Linked DNA regions of Elephas maximus indicus. Each later gene encodes a partner of the first gene's protein in a complex. Links are inferred from orthologs where the notes say so. Each region holds a gene or a part of one and is shown in the gene's direction. Other genes may lie near its edges. The genes, in order: SCML2 and histone H2A.J.

Region 1 (16,248 bases):
ACAGTAAGACATATTTAGGACCACTGGCAACTCATTTTGCCAGGGATTTAAAATACTTAAGGTTGTTCATACAAAAAAAGTCTGCAGTCATTTCCTTAGAGAGCCCACCAGACAGCTGGCCCACCATGAACTGCCAAAATGTTTTATGAAAATCTAGAGCTTGCTTGTTATTTGTGGAAACTGGGCAGCAAATGGGCAGACGACAAGGACCTGATTGTTCATGACACTAACCCTTTAATGTGTTGTGTTGTACTTTGGAAGTTTGCGGACTTAGGCTTGGTGTATTTTGGTTTTTTTTTCCCCCTTTCCTAACTGACACTATATAATAAAAAAGGTTTGCACCCTGAGGGTTTGCACAAAGCACCCCACAAAACCTCAACTTTTTACCTTCTTTTCTCAGGCACCTAGGCTGATGGTCCCCACCATGGGAGGGGAGAGAGAAGCCATTGAGGGTACTATGTATTCAAGGTCAGCTGGACCCTGGTCCTTAGACCATGTGGCTGACTGACCCCCTCTCTAGATGCCTACAGGCAAGGTTTGGAAAGACAACATGCTGGGAGGTTGAGGTATGAAGAAGAGTTTGTTGGAATTTTCCAAAAACTAGAAGCTAAACAACTTCTTTAAGGGAGGAAAATGCTAAGTAAATTTCACGTTTGCTCGTCTAATTTCACTGTGTTCTGTATTCAAAGTTTAGAGAATTCTGAATGAAGGACTATTTTTCATTCATCTACATAAACCCATAAGAGTTTATTTATTCAACAAGTGAAAGCCTATTTGTGCCTATGATCAATGTGTTCCCTTCATTGATAGCACTGACAACCAAAATTGCTTGTTTATTTGTCTGCACACTGAATGCATCTGGCACAGGCCCTGGCTCAGTAGTGGTTTCAGTGAACACTTTCCTGCCCGAATGAGGAATGGATGGGCACTGAGTGTCATGCAGATGCATTACGATGTCAGGTGCTGGCTTTAGACGGGCAGTCTCAACTGGCCCCGGAGGTGCTTTGGGCTGGTGGGACTGCTCCCCATTCACTTCTAGAGTTCAGTACACTTTAATTCAATCACAATCCCAGAAAAGAGCAGAGTCAAATTGAACCCAGGCCCCCCATGATAAAACCCAAACCAAAATCAAACCCACTGCTGTCAAGTCGATTCCAACTCATAGCGACCCTGTAGGACAGAGTAGAACTGCCCCATAGGGTTTCCAAGTCTGTAAATCTTTACAGAAGCAGACTGACACAACTTTCTCCTGCAGAGAGGCTGGTGGGTTCAAACCACCAACCTGTAGATTAGCAGCCGAGCACATTAGCCACTGTGCCATCAGGGCCCCTGAACTAACAGCAGTGGTTCTCAAACTTTAACTTGCACCAGACTCACCTGGAGGACTTGTTAAAAACACAGATTGCTGGACCCTACCTTAGGGTTTCTGTTTCAGTAGGTCTGGGTGGTGGCCCAAGAATTTGCATTTTTGACAAGTTCCCAGGTGATACTGATGCTGTTGGTCTGGGGATCGCCCTTAGAGAACCACTGAACTAATGGATCTAGGCACTGAATATCAGCAGCTGTTAACACAAAATGAGAAACCACCAAGGGTGGTGACACAGCCTGAGTGAAAATATTATCAGGACTAAAGTGAGAGAGGCCACTCTTCAAGCTGGAGCTGAGATGGGAGGCCTAAGAGCCCCAGTCCAGGGAAGACAGGGGCTCAATGGGGAAGCGAATAGTGTGAGGTCCCAAAGAAGTGCAAGATGTAAACCAGCAGACATTATCAGAGGCATATCTAGGATATTCAACTACCCTGGGTGCATGGTGCCACTATGCACTTTCTGTTAACCCAATATGGCCCAACGTCCTTCCTCGAACATGGTAATGTGTTAATTAAAAGATTAACAAGCTTGACTTGTATTTTGAGCTGACATTATGGTAAAGATATCTAAAAGAGAGGTGTCAGATGGTTGGGCAGGGGTGCAATATCAGTGCTTGCCATAGGCGCCATTTTCTGCAGATACACTGCAGACCATACTGGGTTGATAGAAACTGCTCAGTGGCACCATGCGCCTAGGGCCAGTGCAATACCTGCTGTACCTGCCATACTCCAGTTATGCTTCTGCGAGCAAAGGGGCAGAAAGACACTGAATTGAACCAGTCAAAGAGTAAAGAACATTCCATGCTCCACAGGGCAAAAAGTGCTTTTTCCCATCTTTTAAGTTCCAACTCACCTTGATCTTTCAAGGCTAGGCAGGTGACCACTTCTACCTACCCTTTTACTTCTGTTCCTCCCATTTCCTAGTTCTCTTGAACTCACGCTCTTCTTCCTTCTGTCAGATGCCATTGCCCCGTTTTCATTATGTGTATTTTAGTGTGACTTTCTACTTTTCCAATCAATTTCTCTTGGTTGTTTGTTTTATTTTGTTTGTTTGTTTGTTTTTACTGAGGCAGAGGCAAATGACAAAACCGAACTGCCCAAATCTATAGAGTAAATGGGATTTAAAGAGCCTCTAAATAGGTTTGCTTTCCCAATCACCATGTTGGTTTACAAATTTGTATTTAGACAGAGAACCCAAAAGGGGAAAAGGGTCAATGGTATACCTAACAGTATCCCACACAGGTGAGAAGTAAAACCTGCCCTGGACTTTGAATAAAAAGTAAAGCTCTCATTATCAAGATGACCAAGATTTAATATAATTGGAGGCTGAACTACAGCCTTAATTAGAGAGATTCATTGCAAGGAGGAGGAGAAAATAATTGGAAGATAAAACAGCTTTAATCAAAAAGAACAGATTGTGAGAGAGCGGTACAGTGAAGTCGTCTGCAATGTTTGCTAAGAATGAGGGTGATGGTTCACAAACAGGAATGAATCTCAGAGATTTAAAGCAAAGTAAAAGAAGCCAGACACCAAAGGGAATGTGAGGTGAAGGATTAATTACCTTACATAATGTCATGTGGCCTTTGTCTTTGGTCCCTGAGAGACAACACTTGGGATTTCCTGAATAATTGAGATGACTTTATTATCTAAGACCTCCAGACAACACCTGAGGGTCTGTGCAACCGAGGGGGGCCGGTGGTGGACCGGCCAGGCCACAAAGACCACCAGGTGGCCTGATCTTGGCTGGCCTTGGTGGGATGCATAATTCAATCATCAAAGCTACACGAGACCCTAGTCATGCCTACGTAATGAGGCCCTAATAAAGGCTCTGGACATAGAAGTTCCAGGCTTCCTAGTTGGTGAAACACATCCATGCATGTGGGAGAGGAGCAGGTCCCTTTTTGGGACATGGAAGCTCCACGCTGGGGACTCTCCTAGACCTCACCCCATGTGTCTATTCATTTGTATCCTTTTTGCTGTAATAAAACTATAATTGTTAAACATAGCACTTTCCGCGAATGCTGAATTGTTCTAGTGAATTGAAGGAGTAGTGGTTATAGGGTCGCCATGAGTCAGAATTGACTCGACGGCACTGGGTTTTTTTTTTTTTTTTTTTTTTTTCAGTGGGAGCCAGCAGGTCAGAAGCAAGGGGGCTGGGAACCCCAGAGCTTGCAGCTGGCATCCTGAAGGGGTAGTGGGAACTCCCCCACACTTGTAGCCAGGAAGTCAGAAGTGTGGAGGTCATGTGGACAACCAAGCTTGTGGCTGGCATCTGTGGTCTTGGGCAGAACTGGCAGTCTGGAGGACTGTGCCCTTTAACTTGTGAGGTCTGACCTAGCTCCAGGTGGTTAGGATCAGAGGAAGAAGTGGTGCACGGGCAGCTGGTGTCAGAAGTAGAACAGAAGTAAAAAGCAGGGATTTCTTATACCCTCATAGTCAGTGTCAGGAAAAAAGTGGATATTTGATTATATTTGAATTTATCCACTCAGGGAACATAACTGTATGAATCCATTTGTAAGATGTCCACGAACTGGCAAAACTAATTTATAGTGGTTACCTGTGTGGGGTGGGGGACAGGGGCACAGTGAAGGGTCCAGGGGCCTTGACTGGGAGGCATCAAATGGAATTTTCTGGCATGCTGGAAATATCTATACCTTGATATAGGTGTGGGTACATGGATATTGTGTTAGTCATCTAGTGCTGCCATAACAGAAATACCAAAAGTGGATGGCTTTACCAAAAAGAAATTCATTTTCTCACAGTCTAGTTGGGATTGGGAGTAGGTTACAAGTCCAAATTCAGGGCGTCGGCTCTGGAGGAAGGTCCTTGTCCTCAATCTTCCCGTGGTTTAGGAGCTTCTCAGACGCAGGGACCCCGGGTCCAGAGGACGGGCTCTGCTCCTAGTGCTGCTTTCTTGGTTGTATGAGGTCCCCAGCTCTGCTTGCTTCTCTTTCATCTCTTTAGAGATAAAAGGTGGTGCAGGCCACACCCCAGGGAAACTCCCTTTACCTTGGATCGAAGAGAAGACCTGAGTAAGGGTGGGGTTACAATCCCCCCCCAATCCTCTCAACGTAAAATTACAATCACAAAATGGAAGACAACCATACGATACTGGGAATCATGGCCTTACCAAGTTGATACACACATTTTTGAGGGGACATAACTCAATCCATGACAGGTGTATACATATGTAAAAATTAATTGAGCTGTACATTTATGACTTGTGCATTTTATGGTATATAGGTTAAACCTCAATTGAGGAAAGAGAAAATGAAGCCATACTTATTGAGATGGCCTTGTGGAATTGTTCTCCCAGCTGGCCCACTGTCTGGCTCTGGCCCTCATCACTCTCCCTGTGACCATGGACTCCAGACTGCTCTGACTGCTTCCAGCCTCTGTCCACTCCTGCCCACACTCTCCAGGGCTGTTGTTGCAGGACCAGTGGCCTCCTGTCAGTGCCTGCCCCGCCACTGCAGAAGCCAGGGGTCCATTAGGAGAAGGAAAGAGAGCCCTAGAAGCTACAGCAGCAGCTAGAGGGATTGCTAGGATTTGCAACTTTATCTACAGCTTCTTTTCTGCTTGAGAGCCTTCAATGGCTCCCCATCATCCACAGAATGGAGTTCAAATACCTTAGCATGGCATACAAAGTCCTCTCTAAATCGACCCCTTCTTATTTGTTTTCAGCACAGTGAATCTTTCACTTTTCAAAGACCATGCAGTGACTTTTCATTAATTTGTGTAAATGCCTTTCCTCACGAGCTTCCATATTTGCTTGGCAAACTCCACAATTTCTCACTTCTCAGTTCAAACGCCACTTCTTTAGGCCTCTTAAGAAATAAGCACACGGGGAACTAATGATTGTGGAAGGCTGATTATTAACCAAACATTATTTTCTGTATCCTTCACTTTTAGACATTAACTCTAAGTTAATTTTATCAACTTTTAGCTCACAGTATTATAGTGACTTGTTTATAGATGACAGGCTGTGAAACCGTTAGGTGCTATAGACACAGTCCCTCAGGTCCATGAATTCTCAAAGGAGTGACAAAAATATTTGAGACCCCTACCTACACCCTTAGTTGATTGGCTCAAATATGAAAAGAAAGCCATTTCAATAATGGTTCCAGTAGGAACAAAAGGTGCACTCATATGGGATTTTGAACAGAATTTCATGGATTACTTACTAAGGTGTGGGAAGTTTAAGAGAACTAACAAGGGATGCTGAAGGAGCCCAGGGATCAGTAACAGCTGGAATTGCTACCCCCACCCCTCCATCCTGAAGACCCAGTGAGAACTGATGCTGGGAAGGAAGAGACCCTGCCAGGAACTATCTTTGTAGAGGACCCTGCCACCGGCCCAACTTCAGTCCTAGGCAGGAAGGGAGTGGGGAAGAAATACGCCTCCCTCTCTCTCCCCTGGATTCCCATCTCTCCAGCTGTTGCAGGCCCTTTGGCCAAACCAGTTGGCCAAAGAGCCAGGGTGATGCACTCCTTGAGGGTCAGCCCCCTTCTCACCCCCCACTCCCAATCCCTGCCACAGGACAGAGTGAGGCGAAAGGTGTGGAAGGGGTGAAGGTTCTAATGGAGAATCACCAGCATAAAAACTGTAAAATCAAAACTAATAAATGTCCAAAGAACATTATGTCAGCTGGCCAACTGCAGCTCCACTCATATTATTTTATATGGCTACTTTTTAAAATGCTTGATGTGATTGAGGGTGTGGCAAGAGATCCTAGGTCCTTGGAAGATGAAAACACCCACCTACCTACCCAACCACCCATCCACCCATCCATCCATCCATCCATCAATCCATCCATCTCTCTAGTCATATCTCTCTCTCTCCTCTTTGGAGCTGGTGTAAACTCCTTGCATATTCAAATTGTCTTATTCGTCTTACTATCCCCGCCTCTAGCAGAAAAGCAACACCCAACAGGTATTCATTAAACGTCTGGGGTTTAAATGAAGGGCTGAGTGAATGTAATAATGGTCAAGCGCAGTATGTAATGTTCATTGAAGTTATGCCAGTTTTTGCAGCATATGAAATACTTGGCTTGGCCAAAGTCAACTTAGATTTCATTTGTTTGCTTGGTAAAAAACTAATATATGTTTTTAAAAAAAGTGCAGGGATTTGTTGAGGAAAGATCAAGTGGTTTTCTTTTAGTTAGATTTGAATAGCACTTGCTCATCTGTGAAGTAAGTGTGACAGATTATCCCCATTTTAAAGATGAAAAAGCTGAGGCATGGAAAGACTCTAAAGAAATATAGTTAGGCAGACTTGGAATTCAAGACAAGAGCTCAGCTCTCCTGAGGCAGTTGGGTCCTGCTTTCACTACAATACATTGCTTTCCTGTTTAGACTAGCTGCTCTTTCTTAATATTACAAATTTCGCCTCTCAGTATTTTTCCAGGGGAATTATTATTTTGATGTTAGGGCAAAAAAAGGTTTATTGTAACCAACAATAGCGATACTAATTTAAATCTTACTGATATGTGCTCTTGGTTTAATGGGGGGGGGAAGGCAATTTGTAAGAAGCAAAGATCTGAAGACGTTTGTAAATCTAGCTACTGTTTTAATCAATTCATTGATTATTTAATACCTACTTTTTTTACTATGTGGATTTTCTCTGCCAGTCGTAGGCTTCTGTGTTTAGGAGAAAGTATCTCTCAGGAAGTCGGAAAACTAGAGGGAGCCTTCGCTAATGATAAAATGTTAACTTTAACTATGCAAATAACATTGTTTCAAGAAAAGCCCTGTCTGGATGGAGGACTACATTAAACTTGCTTATCCAGGAAAGGAGCTAATCTTTCCATTCTGATTGACTAATATGAAACTCTAAAGAAAGGTACAAAAGGGAGCAATCAAATACACTTGAGAGACAGGAGTATTTTGCATCAGGCTTGGACTGGGAAGGGTGATATGTCTTCTTCAAGCCTGTCCTGGTTTTTGGCCGAGTCAGGAAACTCCAGGAGCAAATTGACAGGAATAAATCTGAGGCATGAAAAATCAGTCACGAAAATTTGGATTTTACCAACCTTACTCCTTACTCTTTCAGTCCAAAGGCTCCCCTTATTTTCACGTTCTCTAGGCTAAATTAATTGAACATCATAATGATAGGTATTCATTCATTCATTCAACAAATATTTATCAAATTCCTACCATGTACAAGATATTTCCAAATAATGGAACAGGGATGTTATTATGATCTCTCCTGACATTAACAAAAAACAGTCTCAAATTTATTTTTGGCAAAGGGGGAAAAGCAGAATATAAGTAAATTAGAGTTATTATTGAATGTTTATGTACACAGTATATGATAAAAGCAGAAGACTGAACACAAGCATGGCACAGATAAAGAAGGGTTCAATTATATGTTCAAAAGCTGACTCTGCCACTTGTTTGTTCTGTAATAATCAAGCTCCTCACCTGCAAAATGGGAATAAGAATACCTACCTCATAGGAACATTGTGACTGTTGGAAATTATTTATATAAAGAGACTAGCATGATTTGCCGCACATGGTAGGTGTTCATTAAATGGCAGCTATTGTTATCATTATCAACAACTCATATTTAATATATATGAAAGAGTTCCACTTTTATAAATGCTTTGGTGAAGGCAGCCACTGAGAAGATATTGTTCTTACACAGAGAATTCAGGTTACATTTTTAGAGCGAGGGCTTCAGTCATTTCATAATAAAAACAGGAACATGGGAAGTAGAGGAGGCATCAGAGCATCAGTGACAGGGGCAATTTTGCAATCAGAGTATTTCTACAATTTAATAACGGGGTACATACCTGCATGTAAAAGAGGTAAAAAGCAATAACCCAAATGTTTCATATAGAGAATGTAGAGATGAACCTCAAATATTTTCTTTGCATTAGAATTAGAAAGACCAAACCAAAAAACAAAACCCACTGTGTCCATTCTGACTCATAGTGACCTTATAGGACAGAAGAGAACTGCCCCACAGGGTTTCTAAGGCTGTAGTCTTTACTGAAGCCAACTGCAAGCCGACTGCCACATCTTTACCGCAGCTTTTGGGTTGGTACTGCCAACCTTTTGGTCAGCAGCTGAGCTCTTAACCACTGCAACACCAGGGCTCCTCATCAGAAAGACCAAACCCGTTGCCTTGGAGTCGATTCCGACTCATAGCAACCCTATAGAACAGGGTAGAGAACAGGGTAGAACTGCCCCCTAGGGTTTCCCAGGAGCTGCTGGTGGATTGGAACTGCAGTCAAGCTTTTAACTACTGCACCTTAGTATGGGCAACAGTGGGCTGAGGGGACTTAAATTCTTAATTAGTCCCCTCAGCCCACTGTTGCCCATACTAAGGGCTTGTGTAGATTAAAACCCTGACGTTATCTTTCTGGTTTAAAAAAAAAATCAAACCTTCATCTTAGACCATTTCAACATTTTCTACGTGATATGTATTACATAATTGATATGATCAAATCTCTCTTTAATATTTGCATATCATTGGCCTAGTTTTTTCTATTTTTGCCTGTTTACTTGAATTTTGCATTAACATGGATTTATTCATGTTTTAGAGGATTCAAGAAAATCAGAGCAATTGGATTTTGCGCTATTTGCCAATGTTTAGATACAATAAAAGGCATTTGGCTTTTAATACCGCAAAAGTTGCATATGAAAATCATTTTATTTGGCACTGTTAAAAATGGATATATTCCGCGGATTTTAAAAAAACTTTTCAGGTTCTGATTTCTGAATTTTGATTTTAAAAGTACATCATGCCCTATGTATTAAGTTAACAAGATCATTGATGTAAAACTTACGCCCAACTTTTCAAAGCGCTGAAGAGAGAAAGAGCAGGCCTGCCAGTCATACACAGCATATTGTATTGTTTTGAAATAAAAGTTTTAAATCCGCTTAGGTATACTCAACCTCACAGCGAGGGACGGGCTGTTTTTCTTCCATTTTCTGTTTACTACATTTTGTGCTGAGAGATTCGTGGGCCCTTATAGGGCTACTTTTACACCTCCTCCCCATCCGTGCGATCTTCACCTGCGCAACTGGCCTCGGAACCTAGTTCCTTCCCCTCCCGGGGCGAGGGGGGATCGGGCAGAGGGGACTCCAAAAGGGACTCTGGAGGACGCTCCCGAGCACCCTCAAGTAAGTGAGCAATTTGTTTCCTCTCCGTGGGTCAATCTCCAGTTCCCGTTAGCTCCAGTCTGGGTTTAGAGGCACGACTAAAGCCAGAAAATGGAGCTGGGAGGGGAATGCGTGGCAAAAACCCATGGAAAAAAAGTTGTCTCAAGGAATCTGCTGCAGCTCACGAAGGAGTGGCTTTGCTCTGGCTGCCTTAACGCACTGCTTTTTCCTGCTCATCGAACTTGCAGGATGAGTTCCCAGGAAAGCGCTGGCTTTGCTTTTTGGATGCGTGGCCAGGGTGGGTGGTGGCCGGGAGTCGAAGGCGATGGCGAAGGGGAGCGAGCTCCCGGGATGGACACTTAACGCGGACCCCGGCGTCCCGCTCGGGGGCTCACCACGGTCTGGGATACAAGGACTGTGACTGGCTTCGGGGGGGGGCGGGGAGACGAGGGAAGAATGCCGAGGACTTCCCCGGCCCGCCGCCCGCGCCCAGAGGCGCCCGCAGGGACTTTGCCGCGGGCGGCGGGCCGCTCGGCCCAGGGCTTCCGGCCGAGGCTCGGCACGCGGTGGCGGTCGCAGGGCGTGCTCGCGGCCACCGCAGGGCACGCGGGCCAGCCGGGCAGGCGGGGGCGGGGCGGCGGTGGCGGTTGCGGGGCATGCGCGGCTCCGCGCGCGGCTTCTCAAATATGGCGGCGGCGGTGTGAAGCCCGGTACCGGCTCGCGCGACCGCTGTGACAATTTCGTTCCTCGGGCCGACTAGAGCCGAGGTGCGTGGCGACTCCGGGCTCCGAGAGGAGCAGAGAGGTAGAGCTGCGGTGCCCGGGCCCTGGCCGTTGTCTGTGGGCGGGCGGCGGGGCGTCCTCGGCGGCGCGTCCCGCGCGAGCAACGCCCCCTCGCCGCCCCGCGGGGGTCCCGCTGCAGCTCGGCCCCGCAGCCCCTCGGCCCACCCTGCGCGGTCTCCTCCCCGGGGCTGGGCTCGCCCCCGGCCCTCGTAGTGCTCTCGGCGGGCGCCCCTCGGCCGCTCCGCGCCGCCCCTCAGGTCCTCCCGGGGCTCCTGTCGCTGGGCGCGGGCCCATCCCGCCTGCGGCGGTTTTGCGGCGGCCCCTGTCCCCGAGCGCGGACAGCGCCCCACTGGGCATCCCTTCGGCCCGGGTGGGAGGGACCGGGCTCGGGCCCCGGCTGCGCGGGGGGCGGCCTGGGCTGCGGAGCGGGGATGCCTTTGCGGGCTCTCGGCAGAGGCTGTCCTGGGCCCCTTCCGGGGACTCGTGAGACAACTTTTGGAGTTTGGGAGGGAAATGTCAGCCCGGAAGGATGCGCTTGCGGCGGAGCGCGGGCCGGGTCGCGATGCCAGGTGCGAACCCAGGACTCGGCCCGGGCTCCCGGGGTGGGGGTGCCTGTGTCTCGCTCCCCGGGGGAAGCGGGAGGGAGAGGAGGGCGCGCCCCGCGTGGGGGCGGGAAGAGGGTGCCGATTCTCCGGAGAAGCTGCGAGGCGCCAGAGGTCGCCGTTCCCTCGCGGCCGGCGGGGCCGAGTTCGTGGACCGTCGCTGCCCTCATTTAGAAACAGCTGCCGCATGGTTACACACCTTTCGCACTTTTTCATGGGACTAGTTGTTTGTGACCTTGGTGGCGTAGTGGTTAAGTGCTATGGCTGCTCACCTTAAGGTCGGCAGTTCGAGTCCACCAGGCTTGGAAACCCTATGGGGCAGTTCTACTCTGTCCTTTAGGGTCGCTGTGAGTCGGAATTGGCTCGACGACAGTGGGTTTGGTTTTGGTTTTTTGGTAGTGCTTTGTGAAAGGAGCCCTGGTGGCGCAGTGGTTAAGAGCTGTCTGTTAGCTGAAAGGTTGCAACCCACCCGCGGACTCCGCTCCTGTGAAGATTCACAGCCTAGGAAACCCTATGGGGGCAGTTCTACTCTCTTCTGTGGGGTCCCCATGAGTCAGCATCCACTCATGGCACACAACAACAAAAACAGCATTGGTTTGTTTAGAGCCAGATGGAGAACGGCTTTTCCAATTTTACGGATTTGTGTGTCGAGGTTATACTTAGCTTCAGGTGCTCAGCTGTAATTCAGCCTCTTTTTTTAAATATGTTTGGGATGTACAGGTATTTCTTTCCAAGTTCCCATTGAGGACCATTGATTTCTTTTTAAAAGGTTGTAAAACGTTTGCCATACATCCCAAAGTATGATTACCCTTAGAAATTGGCCTCTAATTTGAAGACTTAGAAGATTAATATTTAAGATGTGCCTGTGAGCTTAGGACAATATCTCTAGAAAGGGAATGGGTCGGTTAGTAGGGAGGAAACTGAGGCAAGGGAAAGTCAGTAACTTGCTTATGATCATAAGACTTAACAACTTACCGAGGATCGCTTTCTTCCCCGAAAGAACTGTAGATACTACTACATTTTTAATGCCCCCAGAGCTATTAATATTTACGTTTTCAGGAAGCAGGTATTATAAAAAGGCAACATTTATGGAGTACAACTACCTATAACAAGAAATTATGTTGTAATAATACTTCATAAATGCACATTTAATTTTTTTCGATAATGATAGTTGGGAATGTTCTTTAATAATGACAATTTTGCCTTCCTTGCCATTCCTTTTGTTACTTACTCATTAAACAAGGTATTTCCAAGGCCGAATTTTCTTTCAGGTTGTTTGTGGTTTTGTATATTTAATGGGAGGAATGTGAAAAGAAACTTTTGGACAGGAGTCCAGTTGGGATTTTTTGTTGTTGTTGCTTTGACTTGTTTAGGAGAAAAGAAAATTACAATTTAAGAAAAGGACATGCACACCTATGTGTACCTTTGTGCATTCTGCGAGTACAAAATAACTGATTGAGACATATATAGCAGAGATGTGGAGCAATGTGGAGGTACCATGTAATACTTGGCCTACAGAAGACAATTTTTAAAAGAAGGACTGGACAGTCAGTAATCAGTCTTCTCTAGAGTGGGAGACACAACTTAGATTCAAAGTTGGAGGCAAAAGATAGAGCTCTATGGTGACTGCACTTTGCTCAATTTCATTGCGAAGGTGTGATACCATTATTTAATCAGAAAACCAATATCCCCTCCCAGTTAAAGGGTGAGATAGAGGTGGGAGTTAAGGAATGGGGTCCCTTCTTAATGAGAGAAATAGCCTAAAATAGCATATCTACCCAAGAAGATGTAAGAAGTTTGGAGTGCCTCTTTATTCATGTCCCCTCCTTTTGTATTGTGGTCAAATATATATGATGAAAAATCTTCCATTTTAATGATTTTTAAGTGTACAATTCAGTGATATTAGTTACATTCACCATGTTGTGCAACCATCACCACTATCCATTTCCAGAAGTTTTTTTTATCACCCCAAACAAACTCAGAACCCTTCAGCAATAACTTCCCATTCCCCCCATTCCTTAGTAAACCACTAATAGACTTTTTTTCTCTATGCATTTGCCTGTTCTAGATAGTGGGATCATACAAAAGTTGTCTTTTTGTGTCCAGCATTTCACTCAGCATAATGTTTTAAGGTTCACCCATGTCATAGTATGTATCAGAACGTCATTTCTCTTTATGGCTGCATATTCAGTTCTCTTTATATTCCATTGTAGGTTTATACCACATTTTGTTATCCGTTCATCCATTGACGGACACTTGGGTTGTTTCCACCTTTTGGTTATTGTGAATAATGCTGCCATGAACATCGGTGTACAAATATCTGTTTGAGTCCCTTTTTTAAGTCTTGGTTATAAACTGATATGGATTGAATTGTGCCCCCCCCATGTGTGTTGGAATCCTAACCCCTATACCCTCAGATGTAATGTAACATAATCACTTTCTATAATGCAACCTAATGTTATATTAATGATGCCATATCCAATTGAGATTTTTGAGAAAGGAGTGTGCTTATGAACACTCACCTGATGCCTTGTATTCGTTTTGCATTGCTTTATTTATAACCTCCAAAACAGTCCGATAGAATTAAAAAAAAAAAAAACCCAGAACAAAGGCAAACACTATTTAAAATGGCTTTGAAATTTTTTAATCATGCAAACTTACAAACTTCTTAAGAGTGTATGTCTGTTTCCCCCAGAGAACCTGATTTGTTTTGGAAATGGTATTTTGGAAAAAAAGATGAATGTCATTGAACTGCTTTATATACGAGGATGCTTTAAAGCTGATGTCATAATAAGTACAAAGAACATTGGAGTCAGTTTTAAAGAGGTGGTATCAGTTTTTCTCATGAGGCAGCTGGTCAGTCCTTTTGATTTATTGTTCAATCAACACATCTTTATTAAGTGCCTGTACTGTCTATAGTACGGGGCTCATTGCAGTTCAGAGTACATTTAATCAGAGACTACTGTGTGCTCGGCACAGCGCTAGTTTCTGGGTGTTTAAGGCTTCCCACCCAGTAGTTTATTCCTAAAAAATTTAAGGTTACAGCTAAGAAAATGAATAAGACTGGAACATTTAAAAGACAAACTCAACGAGTCAGTATTTTTGTCATAATTCTCTAAACAAAATTCTAGATGTTACTGTAAATTACTTCTGACTTGTCTAATGTTAACTTTGTGCCTTATTTGTTCTGATTATATAAAGCTATACATTTTAACGAGAGCTTATTTTCTGGGACAAATAGATAACATATTGTTTACCCTAGAGAGGGAAAATGAGTTACTGGTATAAATTGAAACAAGTATGTATCCTGGAGAGTGGCTGTTTTTTAATGCTAAGCAACTTTATTTCCTATGACTAAGGATTTTACAATGTAACTAGATTTTGACTGACTGAATTTTTTAGAGCTCTTTTTTTCAAAATGTGTCAGAAATCTCTCTGAACTCAAAAATAACAAATAAGGGTTATGATTGTCAGCCATAAGCCAGATGTGACTCTCATTTTCTTTTGGGTTTGTTCCTTTTTAGTTGCCTGCCTGTTCCTCCCAGATGCTTCCTATCGCCCCTCTTCCTGCCCCTGTTCCCTTTGCTGTTGGTGTCTGTTTCCGCATCAGTGAAATGGTCAGGGTAATCCTGTGCTGCCTCACTGTGAAATAACTGATGATGGTAAAGTGCCTTGAAAAGGCTGAGTAAATACCAAGTCTTTTGAATGAAAACGGCATATGTATGTTCAGTTTAAGGAAGATTCAAGTTCCAATTTCAGTTGGAGCTCCTGGTGGGTGGGTGGTGGGTGGCCTTGCATATTTATCTTTGGGTTAGTAGAAATGACTGTTAACCAGTTAAGTTTAGTAACTGGAATACCCATGGATGTTGGTGATCCTGTGCTATTTGAATTATTAGTCACCTCTAGTCCTTTTTTGCCAGATTACCCTGTCTGCCGCTTTTTCCCCATTATGCCAGCTCTCTTCTCATTCCAGTTGTGACTAGAAATCTGAAGTCACCTTCTCTATTAGTTCCGCCTCCCTGGGAGCCTCATTGTCTCCTCAGAGTCATATTCCTGATTTTTAGGATATACAACATGTGAACAAAGTGAGTTCTGCCAGCCCTCAAAGTTAGAGCCTCGAGGCTATGGTGCAAAGATTAGTCTGGCATTGCCAAGAAATATTTTGTGCTCCTTTGGAGTGAGCAAATCAAGCACTCCTGAGATTTTTAGAAACATTATTAATGTCTGAGAATTACTACCTCAGAGTAGCTCACAATTTCAAGTGATTGTTGATTCCAGGAATCAAAAACCTGGAAACTTCGAAAATGGCAAATGATGGTGATTTTGAAAGAAAGAGTTTACTCTTCCCTGGTTTGGGGGTCTTATTATTTATGATCCCTTTATCTTGGGGAATAAATGAAAGAAACCGCTGCTGTTTATATTAGATTAAAATTGGCTGGTATATTTTGCTGGTTAAGTTCTCCAGGCTCTAACTAGCTTTGGCTTTGGTAACTAAGCATAGCTATGCCTTTGCTGTAGCGATAACATCTCATTTAAAAAAGAGAACAGAGGTGGTGGTTCTTAAAGTAGGAGAACTTGAGAAAATTTCAGAAGCCATCTAAGACTTGAAAATGTGCATATATTCTTTGGTTTTCATGAATAAAGCATTTTACTTATTTTGTCTTTATATTGTCTAATATAAGTAAACCTTGGCCACCTTAGAAAGAAATAATACTCGAGGTTTTTATGCCAAGTGATTTATACTAAATATATATCCCTAAGCCTTTCTCTTACTTTTATTCTTTTGGGCAAATGATGGAAAGGTTTTAAAATAAGAAATGAGGATAGCTTATTGTGTGAAAAGTGAAAGATTTGAGGCTCATATACAGTTTATGTGATGGTGCCATTCCACTTTATATTGTGCTCATCTGACTTAAAAAAAAATAGGCTAGATGAATTCCTTATTTTACCAAGAGTGAAATACTAGGATAAGCTTGTTGAGTTTTCGTTTGAGTAAAGAGCTGGAAAACATTTAAAGATAGAGAGCATTTGACTACCTACTACTTGTGACCTGTGTTTATGGCTGTGGCTCTCCGCCTTCCTAAGTTTATAGGCGCAAATTGTTGTAAGAGCGGAAAGAAAGTGCCCACCTCTTGTGGTAACGTGCCATTGTAAACTTCGGAAGGGATAGATATATTGCAATTCTAGGGCATGCCTTGAGGATGCTTTCTTTTCTCAGGGAAAAGTTGGTAGGACTTTCTTTGCTTCTTGCCTATAGAATACCCGTTTGATTTTTCTTGACCTCTTTCGCAGAAGGATTAACGGGTGTTGAATGTCAGACATAAACAGCTCCATGTGTATGGTATGTAACTTGTAGACTTATAGCCATAACATAATTTTTAAAGGAAGTG
Region 2 (14,643 bases), on another chromosome or scaffold:
TCTAATTACTCACTAGCAACAAGGAAAATATTCCCAGACTAGCTATCATTATAATTCAATTCAGAACACTGCCTTATGCCTATTGATTGGTCTTTCTAAGAGGCCCTTGAACTGTGACATATTCTGATTCAGAACATTCCCCTCATCTCTCATCCTTATCTCCCAAACTTCAGATTCTGTAAAGCTTTGCCTATAAAAGACCAAATCCATGGACAAAAAGTTAATTAGGATCTTTCCATTTTCTCCAACTTGTTCATAAATTGGAAACCCTGGTGGCGTAGTGGTTAAGACCAAAAGTTCGGCAGTTCAAATCCACCAGGCACTCCTTGAAAACTCTATGGGGCAGATCAACTCTGACCAATAGGGTCACTATGAGTCGGAATCGACTCTATGGCAATCTTGGTTCGGATTTTGGTTCATAAATTGCTACAGCACGTATCTACCACTCATCTAAAGCTTAAAAGTTTAATATGTTCTTCAAAGCCAAGCAAAATGTCCTTTAATAAAATAGTTAATAATTGCTAGTATCAGAAACAGTTATTGCCTAATCTCGCCAGTAGATAACACTATGGGAGCTCTCAGGATTTGTATACTCATTATTTATTTTCATATCAGCTTTCTGTCCTTGACTCAGAAATGTAGAAAGAAAATGATTACTTTAGCTTCCTACCCTCTGCTACTAGTTCTGGATTCAAACATAATAATTTAACAATATATTAGAGAAAATTATTGATTACATCCTGGAACATGCTTCTGAATGAAATGCAACACTGAACATTCTCTCAATAAATCATGTGAATCTGAATTCCTGTCCCAGGCTCTGCTTTAGGAAAAACAGTTCCCTAAGCTGAAGTACTAGAACTGACCCCACCACAGCGGCTGTGTGTTTTGTTTTGTTTTGTTTGGTTAAGCCGAAGTATAACTTGAGCCAGTAGATTGAAAAGGAGTGATAGGTAGTGATGGGAAAACAAACAAACTCAAACATATCCTGCAAAAATGACTGTTCTCAAAGAATAAATATAAAATCTCACAAGCCTCTAGGCAGAAATAATAACTAATAAAGGCCCAAACAAACAAACAAAAAACCAGCTTGGGAACTCTTAGCTGCACATTGAAAGTTATAGGACCATGGAATGCTATCTAGACTTTTGAGTGAAAAAAGAACTACCACCTAAGAATCTGAAATAGCACCAAGATAACACTTGCCAGAGAGGGAGAAAGGAAAGACATTCATAGACTGTCTTATCTCCACAGAGTCCTGGTGGCTAAGTGGTTAAAAGATTGGCTGCTAATCAAAGGGTTCAACAGTTGGAATCCACCAGCTGCTCCTAGAAAACCCTATGGGGCAGTTCTACTCTGTCCTATAGGGTCACTAGGGGTCAGAATCAACTCAACTGCCATGGGTTTGGTTTGTTTTTTTTGGTTCTTACCCCGATACCTCATCTAAGGAAAATTCTTCAGAAAGGACTCTACTAAAAAATAAATCAGAACAGGGGCTTCAAAATAAGGGACGATGAAGAATAAAGAGAAGTGAGCAATGATTCATGCAATGTGTGTATAATTAAGTCCAAGTGCATAATAAATACAGTGCCTGGGAATTTGTGATGTAAATGCTAAATATTCTTGAAATAAAAGAGACACTGCAAGAGAAATCATAATAATGGCCTATAATTAAAGTGCTAAATAATCTCAGCAATTCTTTGGGAGTTGACAGTGGAGATACAGAAATGAAGAAAAGTATTTAACAGGTTTCAAATTGAGGGTAAGGGTGGAAAGTGAAGAAGTAAATGTATCCTGAAAGTCTCTACTTTCCGAGGTAGGGGAAACAGTGAGGAGAGTTAGTGGGCAAAAGCTAGTATTTTATAGAAGAGTAAAGAAATATAGTTTGAAAGAGATGTCGAGACAGAAGGCAATGGCTAATAAAGTAAAAAAAAAAAAAAATACAGAATTGCTTCTAAATTAACAAACAAGAAAAAGAGAATACATTTTCTACTGGTTAGGTACTGCTTTTGGGCTATTAGTAACAGAGGCCTGAAATGACAGGAGCTTAAACAGGATAAAAGCTTATTCTTCCCTCAAGTATAGTATGTCCAAAGGTAGACTAGCCAAGGCTGACACAGTGGCTTTATAATTGCATCAATGTTCAGGCTTCCTTTTATCTTTTTGTTCCAATACCCTTAACATTTGACTTCAATCTTCAGTCCCATCTCATGAGTGCTACAGGCCATTATTACTTCTACCTTCCAAGCAGAAAAAGAGGAAGAGGGAACTACAAAATTTCTTTCATCTCAGCTACTCCCACTTTTAGGAAGGTTACCTAGAAGCCCCATTCAACAAATCTACCCATATACCACAGAACTCAGCCACATGGCCACTCCTGTCAGCATTCAGAAAACAAACAAACTTGGTGCCATCGAGTCGGTTCCGACTCATAGTGACCCTATAGGACACAGAAGAACTGTCCCATATGGTTTCCAAGCACTGCCTGGTGGATTCAAACTGCTGACCTTTTGGTTAGCAGCCATAGCTCTTAACCACCACACCACCAAGGTTTCCCTGTCAGCATCAAAGCCTGGGAAATACAATTTTTTACCAAATGCATAACCTTGTCCAACAAAATCTGAGTTCCGATATCGAGAGCCGAGGGGAGAATGGTAATAAGTGGGTTACCAGCAGTGTTTGTTACAAAGGGTGTTTTGATAAAACCAGTAGAAATAAGAAAAAGAAAGAAAAACAGAAAAAGTAATATGCAAGGAACAAAATCATGTTTAGATTTATTGAACTAAATATGAAGGGACTGAATTTTCCTATTAAAAGATGAAAAGTGTCAGATTAAGTAAAAACAAAACACTGTATGTTGCTTAGAAACAATTATAACTAAATAATTTTATAAAAAGATTAAGCAGCGCCTTCCTTCAGCTTTTTCATATTATCCTTCAGTGAGTAAACAAGAATTTGGAGTCAGTGATAATGAGGATGATGCCGAAATGTAGATATTTAATTAAAATATATAAAGTATCTCCTTTTTATATTTATTATGGAAAATTCAACAGTTTAGTAAATTATAGGGTTAATATAACTTATCTCTAAAATAATTTGTTTTATCACATTTCATAGGTCTCATAAAAATGTAATATTCCAAGACTTGTAGAACATTTATTGATACATATTTTTTATAATCTTCAAGATTACAAAGCTTCTGCTTGTATTTACCCAAATTTACTCACTCTTTCAACAAATATTAAGGCATAGGAGTGTACCAGACTCTGCTCTTTAAGTATCTTCGTTTCTCACGTGTATTAAATAAATTGGAGTTTCTGGCACTGTCTCACTGTCCTAAAAACTGAATTAACACAGTGTCATGAATAACCTTTGGTCTATATGGAATATAAAGGAGTCCTGGTAGTGCAGTGGTTAAGCGTTTGGCTGCTAACCCAAAGGTTGGTGGTTTGAAACCACCAGCCACTTCAAGAGGGGAGAGATGTGGCAGTCTGCTTCCATAAAGATTACAGTTTTGCAAACCCTATGAGACAGTTCTACTGTGTCCTATAGGGTCGCTAAGAGTCGGAACGAACTCAAAAGGTTTGGTTTTGGTTTATATGGAATAGAAGAAAGTACTTAGAAGCGAAATGCCAGCAAACAGGAACAAGAGCCTCCATGCCAGAAGCAGTGGAGTATAGTGGTTAGGGTTAATGCAAGGACTGCAGAAAATAACAGGGCTCTGTTCAAACCCTGGCTCCAGATCTTTAATCCTCTTATCAGCTTCCTCATCTGTCAAGTGGAAATTAATAAGTACTTCATAATTTTGCCAGAGAATCAAATGCAATGGAATACAATGTGTTTCAACGTGCCTGACACACAGTTACGAAAAAATCCGTGGCCCATAGGGTTTCCAAGGAGCAGCTTGGTGGATTCCAACTGCCGACTTTTTGGTTAGCTGCCGAGCTCTTAACCACTGTGCCACCAGGGTACCCGCACACAATAAGCACTCAATAAACAGCAGCCATTACCAGTATAATGACAGAGACCGGTTGAGGGAACACAAGAAACTTTTCTCTGGTTAGAAAACATTTGATGTCAAAAAACTAGGACATTCTCACAATGAGACTTGCACTGCTGTTTTTAAGGCTGGGACCCTAGCATACCCTAGCATAGTAACTTCACGATGTTTACAAAAGCCAGAATTGGAGTGATTAGTTAATCCTACAACGGATTGCACCGCAATTTAAGGTTCTAAGTCCTTTTCTCAATTGTCTCGTACAAAGAGGTTAGGTGCGACAGAGCCAGGAGTAGAGCAAAGCCAATCATGCCGACTATGGTTCTTGCTTCACCTCACTGGTGTCCCCTGGCGGCCTCGGGGAAGCGCCCTCAAGTGGCTGCCTCCGCGCCCCATTTTACTCAGGTCTCCGGGCAGCCCCGCCGCAGGATCACTGGGCAGCAACCTGCGACTGCACAGCTCTCTTGCCCACACCATGTTCACTGAATTTACTAGGAGCAACACCACGGCCCACCTCCCTTCTAGAGGCCCGCCGGCAGCTATGAAAATAGCCTTTACTCGGAAACCAGGGCTTATTTCCCGGCTGCAAGAGGGTCATTTAAGACTCCGTCTCCTGGGTTGCTAGCAGCACTGCCTTAATGATGGGCAGAGCGCCACCCTGAGCAGGGGCCTCCCAGCTGTTAAGTTTCTCGCCGTGGTACATGGCGAAGTGCAGGTAGAGAGGATCCTTCTTTTCTTGCCATCGAGCCGCGCTGCCCGCCAACACCAGGGTCTCCGCTATCGGGAACGCTGGCGCCCAGACGCATATCCACTGGCGCAGCAGCCTTTGCGCAGCTGGCCCACCAGGAACTGCGGGAGCCCGCGAGCTCTCACCTGGCCTTGGACTTCGCCTGCACTTAGCTGCCTTGCTTCCCGCGTCTAGATTTGCTCATCTCTCATTCAAAACATAAGCGAAGAAACAATATATTCCACAGTCGGTAGGAGACTACACCACGCCACATTAAGACTGCATTTAGTGTTTTATGATTTGTCTGTAGAGGTGTTTTCCTATTGGAGGCTGTGACATCCCTGGCTCCGGTGTCTCACTGGAGAAGAACCGCCTCCTGACGCGTAGCCTTTCCCTCGAATTGGAAGTGGAAGTTGGCTAGTCCTAATTTACATAGAAGCCACTATGTAAGGAGGTGCTCCACTGCGTAAAGGATGGTTACTATTTCTAAATCTGTGGATTCAGTAAGTGGAGATGATCTATTCCCCTAGACAGGATCTAAAGACAGAGCCTGGCGTCTGTATTTTGATGTACAAAAAAAAGCAGAGTCACTACTGCACTGCACCGCACTTCCAAGCTATGACGCTGGGAGCCAGGACTGCTGCATTCACGCCTTTTCTCCCCAGCTCCAAACCCAAGAGGAAGCAACCCCTGTAAATTTCGACAGTAAATCTTCTGTCGATGGTAACCGGAACGCTGCATGTATACCACGTTTCTGCATTCACCACATGCATATACTTGCAGGGTAAATACATTACAACTCTTTTTTTGAAATTGTGGGGGCCCTAAAAAGGGCCTTTTGGAGTCTGGACGAAAGCCGCTAACACACCTCAGCCTCCGAAGCCGTACAGGGTACGGCCCTGGCGCTTCAAAGCGTATACCACATCCATAGCCGTGACTGTCTTGCGCTTGGCGTGCTCAGTGTAAGTCACTGAATCACGGATCACATTCTCCAGAAAGACTTTGAGCACACCCCGAGTTTCCTCGTAGATGAGCCCGGAGATGCGCTTGACACCGCCGCGGCGAGCGAGACGCCGAATGGCAGGCTTCGTAATTCCCTGAATGTTGTCCCGCAAGACTTTACGGTGGCGCTTGGCACCTCCTTTCCCCAGGCCTTTTCCACCTTTGCCGCGACCCGACATTTCTAGCAGTAACTACCTACCTACGTCCAAAACCGAAGGCCACTGCAAGAAAATGAGCCGCTAACCTGGATTTATAGTCCCTTGTAGCGGACCTGTTTGGAAACCTCAAAAAAGTGGGTGGAGCTCTCCGCCCCACCTCCGGAGACTTTTTTTTTTCCCTACAATTGATTGATTCGTTTCTATCTTGCACAGTTAGTTCAGTAAGCAATAGGCAGTAAGCAAAACCAGACTGATTTTTTGTGTCTTTCTCGAAAAAACTTTCTGATATTTTTTACCATAAATTTGAAGAAAGGCACAATAGGGTAACGTTTAGAAAAAATGAGCTTGTAGTAGAACTTTTATATTGGCTTTTCTCAACGCTTAAAAAATTATGTAGGCCAGATCCCCTGCTTTTTCTAATTGTATATTTTTTCAAAAGGAATTCTTAGTACCGTTCGCGGACTAACGTGAAAATCAAGGTATAGGAGCAAAGGACGCGTTACATCTTATTATATGTCAGAGCGATTACAGCCTCCCACTCTTAGGTCTTTGTTTTTAGTCATTGGTGGGGGAGAGGAAACGTTTTAATGGGTCTTTTTTTTTTTTTTTTTTTCCTCTTTGTGGCCCTACGGGGAAATTTAATAAGAATTATTTCAGTAGGTCCAGCCTTACTCAGCTTATTCCTGCCTCGTCCCTTTCCTCTGGGCAATTTGCAGATTTTTCTGGCTTTTCTCCCTTTGAAGCTTGTATTTGCCTTTCAACCAAATAGCTCTATGATTTAACTGATTTTTTTTTTTTCAGTCCAATTCGAGATTGTCAACTTCCATTTAAAAATGTTAAGTTATTTTAAAATAACAGATGCCACACTTGTGGTTTCGAATAGTGCCATACTGCAAATCCCAATCAGGAAGCTCTAACCAGTTTCTTGAAGAGAATTCCTGGGGTGGGGTCGTGGGGGGGTGGGGGGGACGGATCACTGCTCTTGGGAGTTTCTTTTTTAAATAATTTTATTGTGCTTTAAGTGCAAGTTTACAAATCAAATCAGTCTCTCACATATAAACTTACATACCCCTTACTCCATACTCCCACTTACTCTCCCCCTAATGAGTCAGCCTGCTTCCTCCTTCCAGTCTCTCCTTTCGTGCCAATTTTGCCAGTTTCTAACCCTCTCTACCCTCCTACCCTCCTATCTCCTCTCCAGACAGGAGATGCCAACACAGTCTCAAGTGTCCACCTGATACAAGTAGCTCACTCTTCATCAGCCTCTCTCTCCAACCCATTGTCCAGTCCCTTCCATGTCTGATGAGTTGTCTTCGGGAATGGTTCCTGTCCTGGGCCAACAGAAGGTTTGAGACCATGATGCCGGGATTCCTCTAGTCTCAGTCAGACCATTAAGTCTGGTCTTTTTATGAGAATTTGGGGTCTGCATCCCACTGTTCTCTTGCTCCCTTAGGGGTTCTCTGTTGTGTTTCCTGTCAGGGCAGTCATCAGTTGTGGCCTGGCACCGTCTAGTTCTTCTGGTGTCAGGATGATGTGAGCCTCTAGTTCATGTGGCTCTTTCTGTCTCTTGGGCTCATAGTTATCGTGTGACCTTGGTGTTCTTCATTCTCCTTTGATCCAGGTGGGTTGAGACCAATTGATGCATCTTAGATGGCCGCTTGTTAGCATTTAAGAATCTTGGGAGTTTTTATTGCACTAAAAAGCAGCACTACTTAGAAGTTAATTCATAATTTTTCCCCAGGTACTTAACATCTTCAAGAATATTTTAGTAAATTGGGCTCTCTGCTGCTAGTTTTGAAAGATGAGCCTTTCCAGCAGGAAAGCTTTGTGGAAAATGTTTACACATATAAATGCTTACAGTTTGCCCTTCTTTCAATCCTGCCCATCTCCATAAACCAAAAAGTACTTTTTTGTTAAAGATGAATTAAAAGAGCCCCAGGAACACTTTGTATGGCTGAAAAAAAAAAAAAAATCTTGAATAGTCAAACTGTATTACATGATTTTAATCCTTGATTCAGAATGAAAAAAAAGTATCACATCTCGAAGAGATCAGGATTCTTGTAACAGTAAAACAGGCTGATTTATTTGTATTTACTTTTCTTCAAAGTTAACATCAGAATATTTTCAAGTTAGAAATCCTTCTTGCTTACACGAGTGAAAGGAAAAATCATTCCCAAAATAATAATAAACAACTCTCTGTTAAGAATTTTCCAGGATATAGGCAAAAATGTAAGTCCGCTCACAGAACTCATTCCAGGAATATCTTTTTAAAAACCGCAGGAGAGGTTTGTATGTTAATTTATCCAGTATAACTAAGTCATTGGATGTTTACTAATGTACTTAACCTTCAGACGGCTTTAGGACGTGGAAAGGTTAAATAATTTATCCAGGTCAGCTGGTAAGTGGTAGAGTCAGGTTTTGAACCCAGGCAGTCTGGCTCCAGGATGACTGCCTTAACCATTACAACACACTGCTCTTCTGCTTCAAAGACATTTACTGAGTTTCTACCATGGGTTAATCATCGAGTGTCCTTAGGCACTAAGGACATACGCATAAAAATTGAAAATGTTATTTCAAGGAAATCAAATCTGTATTAAGATAGCGAAAAGGTAATTTTGTTTCACTTTTGATTTGAATACCCAGACCCACTGCCGTGGAGTGGATTCCGACTCATAGCGGACCCCATAGGACAGAGTAGAACTGCCCCATAGAGTTTCCAAGGAGGGCCTGGTGGAATGGAACTGCCGACTTTTTGGTTTGCAGCCGCAGCACTTAAGCACTATGCCACCAGGGTTTCCTTAAATTTGAATGGATACTATAATTCAAACAAAATTATTTCAATAAGTAAATGTTTAACATTACATCACGTCAGCAGTATAATTGTATAATTGTGAAAAACCCCCCAAGAAACCAAACCCAGTGCCCTCGAGTCGATTCCCACTCATGGCGACCCTACAGGACAGCATAGAGCTGTCCCATAGAGTTTCCAAGAAGTGTCTGGCGGATTTGAGCTGCCAACCCTTTGGTTAGCAGCCATAGCACTTAACCACTATGCCACCAGGATTTCCAATTGTGAAAAACATTGAGGTAAAAGAAACGTTAGTAGAAAGTAATTTCTGGATAAAGAAATCAGTTTGCTATGAATTTGCAATTTAAGTATATAAGGACAGTTGCTGCCGTTTTTTACTTTAGTCTTTTCACGAGTTCTGAGCGCCACAAGGGCTATAAGGGAACAGGGGAAGGAGAACACCAAAGGCCCTGGAAAGTTTTCAGTGACAGTATCTGCTGAGCCGCCCTGACCTACACAGGGCAAGCCCAACCCAAGACTTTCAGCCTCAGCGCCTGAGTTGCACCTGAGGCCTCTCACTGGAATCCAAAGACTCTTTTCAGGCCCATACCTCAAAGAAAAAAGATGGTAAGTTTTGGCCAGGCGATTTTGTTCCTGCTGCTTGTGCAGAAAGCGTTCATGTCTAGTCTAGCATTGTAGTTTGGGAGACCTTAGAAGTGAAGATGGGCAGCCTGAGAGCTGCAGAACTTTGAGGGGAGGCCAGTGTCAGCCAGTCTAGTTAAGAAAGTTCAAAATGCCAGTTATTGACGAAACCTTTTTTGGAGGCCTGCTCCCCACGCTGTTTGGCTAACAGGGGCCGATTAGGTTTGGCAGGAACAAGGCTCTTATGTAAAGGAACAGGCAACCTAACCTGTATTAAAAAAAAAAAAAAAAATTTTTTTTTTTTTTATTATTAGGCAGACTGAATTCGGTAGGGAGATTGTGATTTCGCTTGAGGAGAGTACTGCCTCCAAGAAGCGCGGTGTGGAGTTACCTAACTACCTTGCTGTATGCTGACTTGAATGAGAAAATGCAACTAGGGAGCATAGCAACGTCTACCGCTCTGTGCGACCTCAACTGCTTGAGCACTTGTACTTATGGATGCAGTAGCTCTTCTTCGGGATTCTTCTATTTTCAACCATGCTTCCTTAGTTCTTTAGTCTTTTTTCCTGGGAGCGAGCGTGGATGCTGAAACCTCAGTACCTATTAAAACCAACAGGCTTGCAGACACCCAGCATTTGGGTCCTGAACGTTCATATGGGCGGCTATGTAAATAAGGACTAGAAGATTCCTCTTTCTATTGGACAGAGCTGGAGAAGGCGGCTAATTGGGAGCGGAGCCTGCCTGCCTGTCATTGGTCACCGGAGCCGAGTATTGGCGGCGCCCAATGGGAGCTGGCTGCCTAGTGGTAGCAAAAAAAAGTAAAGGAAGTTCCGGGGTGGCGCGCTGCATTCTCGTATCCGGAACGAGAGCGCTGTCTTTTCCTTCCTTCCTGGAGTTTTAGGTGCGAGGGGAGCATGTCCGGTCGCGGAAAGCAGGGCGGCAAAGTGCGGGCAAAGGCCAAGTCCCGGTCCTCCCGCGCGGGCCTGCAGTTCCCGGTGGGCCGAGTGCACAGGCTGCTGCGCAAAGGGAACTACGCGGAGCGAGTAGGCGCTGGGGCGCCCGTGTACCTGGCGGCGGTGTTGGAGTACCTGACGGCGGAGATCCTAGAGTTGGCCGGCAACGCCGCGCGTGACAACAAGAAAACCAGGATAATCCCTCGCCACCTACAGCTAGCCATTCGCAACGACGAGGAGCTAAACAAGCTGCTGGGGAAAGTGACCATCGCTCAGGGCGGCGTCCTGCCCAACATCCAGGCCGTGCTGCTGCCCAAGAAGACGGAGAGTCAGAAGACGAAGAGCAAGTGACCCCAGCGCTACCATGGGGGAGCAAAGGGGGCTGGCTTCCCCAGCAAAGGCTCTTTTCGCGTCCGCCCGCAGTGTCTTTGGATGTGCTGGGTGTTAAGAAGAGTTGGCGCGATCTAGTGGGGAGGTGGGAGGCGAGGACCCTGCCCGGGTCGGGGACCAATAAAGTCGGTGAAAATCATGTGGTCGAGAGAGCTGTGTAGTCGTGGGGCGGCCGGGAAACCTTTAGAGCAGGTAATGGTGGGTCGGCCTGATCCACCCACTGGCTGCTTTGGTTCGCAGGTGACCCTTGAGGCGTTATGGCTTGGTAAGGGAGACCAGAAGGACCCACTGGCCTGGAGGTGGGCAGGGTAGGGCTCTCCTTGTTCATCTTAAGGCAAAAGAGAGGCAGAAATAGGTGTGCATTCGGGGAGTGGGGGCGGGGAATGGGGTGGGTGCATTATTATTATGCTCCCTGGCCAGAGCTTTCGCTGTCCTGTGTGTCTGTGGGTTGGTTGTTCAGGATCCATTTCTAGGAAGGGAACCAAGGGGCCGATCCGATCTCGGGGAAGAAGTTGTTTCTTCTGCCATTCTCACCCTCCATACTTTTCAAAAGGTGGAGTGATTTTTCTGCCTTCACAGGGTGGCTCTGATGACGTGGTATCAATTTAAGAAAATTTTCTTAGCCTGATAGCTGTGGCGTTTTCAGGTTTTGGATTTCAGATACTTACGTTTGGTTCACGTTTCTTTAAAATGAAGAAAATATTCAGTAGTAGTATGTGTAATGCAGAAGCCTGAGTCATTCGGTTGGAAATTCGTTCCCCTGGTATTCATGTTGCATAACAGTGCAGCATCTGTAGTCCTGAGTTACATAGCCTGTGAGCTTTTAAAATGATGTTCGCAAGTTTCTAACTTCACTGTGGTCTTGTCTTCATCATATCAAATTTCTCTAGACATGTAATCGGTTTGATTTTGCTTTGTAAGAAAAAGAATCCCTTGCTTTAAGGGGTTAGTACTCAACACATAGCCTTCTTGAAATCCCATATGTTCCACCCCTGCTTGAAGTAATGACCTCTTTCCAACAATGCCTCTATAAGAGTTCCATGGTTCACAGGCACGGCATTGGTTTAATATGTGAGGAGAACAGGAGGCCGAATGAGTTAACTACAGGGAAAAATGCATTTCAGATCAGGAATCCACATTTAGAAGTTAAGACACTAGCAATCCTATTCTGCCCCTGGTTGGTAGTTCATTTCACCTGCTCAGCAAGCTCCATCCTTGCCCACAGGGCCAGTAAAAAAAGATCCCAGTTTAGATTTCATGTGTTTGGGTTCATTTTTCCTATGAGTTAGGGTTGAAGTCTCTTTGCAAAATATATATACATATATACTTATATATGTATATGTATGCTTTGGTTTTTTGTTTTTTATGTATGCTATATCTTCAGCCCTCAGCACTTACCTGCCTCAAGGTTCAATCAGCCTCTTACCATTTCTATTTTTGAGGATTGTTCTTTTCACCTGGTTAATTTCTTTGCAGTTGAAAATGCATACTTTCTACAAAATCAGTTCATCTTGTGATCTTTGATGAACAAACGGGTAATTCTTGTCATGTAACATTGTTCATTTACAAGGCCAGTATTTCTTTGAGTGTGAGACCACATGGAAGAAGACGTAGGACTAATAAATGATGAATACTGAATTCTGATTTTCAGTAGATTTATGAATCCATAGTTTTATTTACATACGTAGGCACCCCTTCCTGTGGAGGTAAGCCATTCAGCACGGCAGACTCTAACTTGGTCAGGATTTGTTTGATCTGTTTTTCCTGCGGGACCGGTCTTGCCTTTGTGTCTCGGAAAACGGGTCTGCTCAGTTTTCTCTACTTGGAATCACAGGGTTTGCCAGGCTCCACCATTAGTGATGACTGGCATACTATATGCAAACTCCTTACAAAGTAGTACTGAAAGTATAGGGCATCCCACCCCTTCTAATTGTTAAGAGGCTTCGACATGGTGCACAAGAGGTCCAGCTGGGTTCTCTGCTCCTTAATAGTTGTGAAATTACGGAAAAGTGATTCAACCTCTTTAAACTTGTTTCATATATATAATGGGTATAATAATAGAGTTTACCTCAGATGGTTTTAGGGAGGATTCAATGAGATGCTGTAAACGAGGGCACTAAGTTTCCTGTGTAGAAAAGTTCAGTTAGTAGTTGTTAGCTTCTGTAGGGGTTCTGGTGGCTCAGTTGTTAAATGTTTGGCAGCTAACAAAAGGTTGGCAGTTTGAATCCACCGGGAGCTTGTTGGAAACCCTGAGGGGCAGTTGTACTCTGTCCTATAGGGTCGCTATGAGTCGGAATCCACTCCATGGCAATGGGTCTGTAGAGTTGGCGTCAACAAATGCCAACTTTATGTATAACAGAAAAAAATGTTGCTCGGTCCTGTGCCATCGTCATGATTAAAACTGGATTTAGAGTGAGTAGCAGTAGTTATGGAAAGTGCTGAAATAGTAAGCATATGGCGTTCTAGGAGTCCTGTGACCTTTGTGATAATAAACCATAAAAATAAGTCTGGTGACTTTTTTTTACTAATTACAGGCAATTCACAATCTATAACAGAAAAGGGTAATAAATGGTTATAGCTTGTGAACTTGAATTTGCATTTTTCCTCCGAAGACACCTGGTTTGAAGTTAATGCCTTCTTAAGTGCACCCACTCAGATTAGAAATGGAACCTGTATGTTCCACAATTGATTGGATGTATATTATGTGTTACACTTGTGACTAGTAACCAGCTGTCAAGAAACTCAAGTCTAATGTGGAATACAGACTCTGAAAGATGATTAAATGTAACAGGCTATGTGTAAAGAAAGATACTCAGGGTGTTATAGGAACCGGTATTAGGGGCACCTGTGTCACTCAGCCTGGTGGGGACACTGGTGGGGGGAGTGACACCTGAAATGGGTCTAGGAGTAAAAGCCTGACAGGATGGGTATTCTGGGTAGACAGGCAGCCAGTGCACAGGGCTTGGGATGGGGAGTTGGGGGGATGGGGAGCCAGGTAGGGGAAAGTCAAAAACAATACCCACAGCTGGATGTGTGTCTGAATCTAGGGGGGAAGGTCAGGCCTAGAGATCAGGATTTGGGAGTCATGATTAAAAATAGCCAGATAAAATCATCCAGAAAGAATGTGTAGAATGAAAATAGCCACAGCTGAAGAGACTGAGGGTCTTCAAGATTTAAGCGATGGTGGAGGGAGAGGACTCCCAAGGACGATGAGAGAGGGAGAGGACTCAGGCTGAAGGACACTGAGAGAGTGTCAAGGAGTTTTGCGGTTACATATTCATAAAACAAACACAGGAAATTTAGAATCTTTAAATCGTGAGAAATTTGATTTGACCCTGACCTTTTTTTTTTTTTTTTTTGTAAATCAGTTAATGTTTAGTTTCCCAAGAGACAGAAACAGAGAGGAACAATAATTAAATAAATACAAATGTGCATCTATAAATACATACATAAATAAAAGGAAGCAAGCTTCAGGCAAATATGAAATTATCACCGTAAGCCTTATTTTCTCTGCAAGGAGAAGAAAGAAAGTTCCAGGTGTAGAAAAACAGGTTTTAACCTTACATATACAAAAGAGGAATGACAGGTTTAGACAGTAACTTGGGTCCTTGATAAATTTATCAAGCCATTCAGTTGAAAAGCTAGCACTTAGTAATCCTTGAATTATGGAAACAAAGGAAGAATGAGTCCTATGTTAAAGAAAATCTGTCTTTTAGGCAGACAAGACAATCTGCATATGAGGGCTTCTTTGCTTCCTGTTTTAAAGTACTTCTTAAATGAACTATCTTGTTCACGTCAAAAGCCCCCCAAATGCCACTGCAATTCCAAATTGTTCCAGGTGAAATTGTGCTTATCAGAGAGGCAAGCGTACAGGTTAGTGTTATAATGAGACAATATGAAGGAAGTAGTGTTTGGCCTTGAAGAGTCTCGATTTTAGATTTTGAAGACTGGGAGAAATTAAATGGCCTGTAAAGATGGTGCTTCTG

What was found.
Region 2: the proteins of SCML2 (region 1) and histone H2A.J are in contact, whole or in part, in a crystal structure (PDB 4EDU), measured with the Homo sapiens proteins. The link is inferred for Elephas maximus indicus from reciprocal best matches to the Homo sapiens genes SCML2 and H2AJ. Residues at the interface, in NP_006080.1 of Homo sapiens: Asp182, Asn185, Tyr187, Leu188, Cys190, Phe206, Trp209, Phe213, Pro239, Pro240, Gly241; in NP_808760.1 of Homo sapiens: Leu35, Arg36, Lys37, Gly38.

Annotation. Positions count from the first base shown.
Region 1 is NC_064846.1:161,111,256-161,127,503, forward strand, and holds the start of SCML2 (sex comb on midleg-like protein 2), read left to right. Parts: upstream 1-9,425; 5' UTR 9,426-9,495; intron 9,496-9,707; exon of another isoform or gene 9,708-9,772; intron 9,773-10,141; exon of another isoform or gene 10,142-10,278; intron 10,279-16,248. UniProt on the Homo sapiens protein: Putative Polycomb group (PcG) protein. PcG proteins act by forming multiprotein complexes, which are required to maintain the transcriptionally repressive state of homeotic genes throughout development.
Region 2 is NC_064822.1:73,357,249-73,371,891, forward strand, and holds histone H2A.J, read left to right. Parts: upstream 1-10,161; 5' UTR 10,162-10,228; coding exon 10,229-10,618; 3' UTR 10,619-10,796; downstream 10,797-14,643. Other genes in the region: histone H4, read right to left, coding at 5,594-5,905. UniProt on the Homo sapiens protein: Core component of nucleosome. Nucleosomes wrap and compact DNA into chromatin, limiting DNA accessibility to the cellular machineries which require DNA as a template.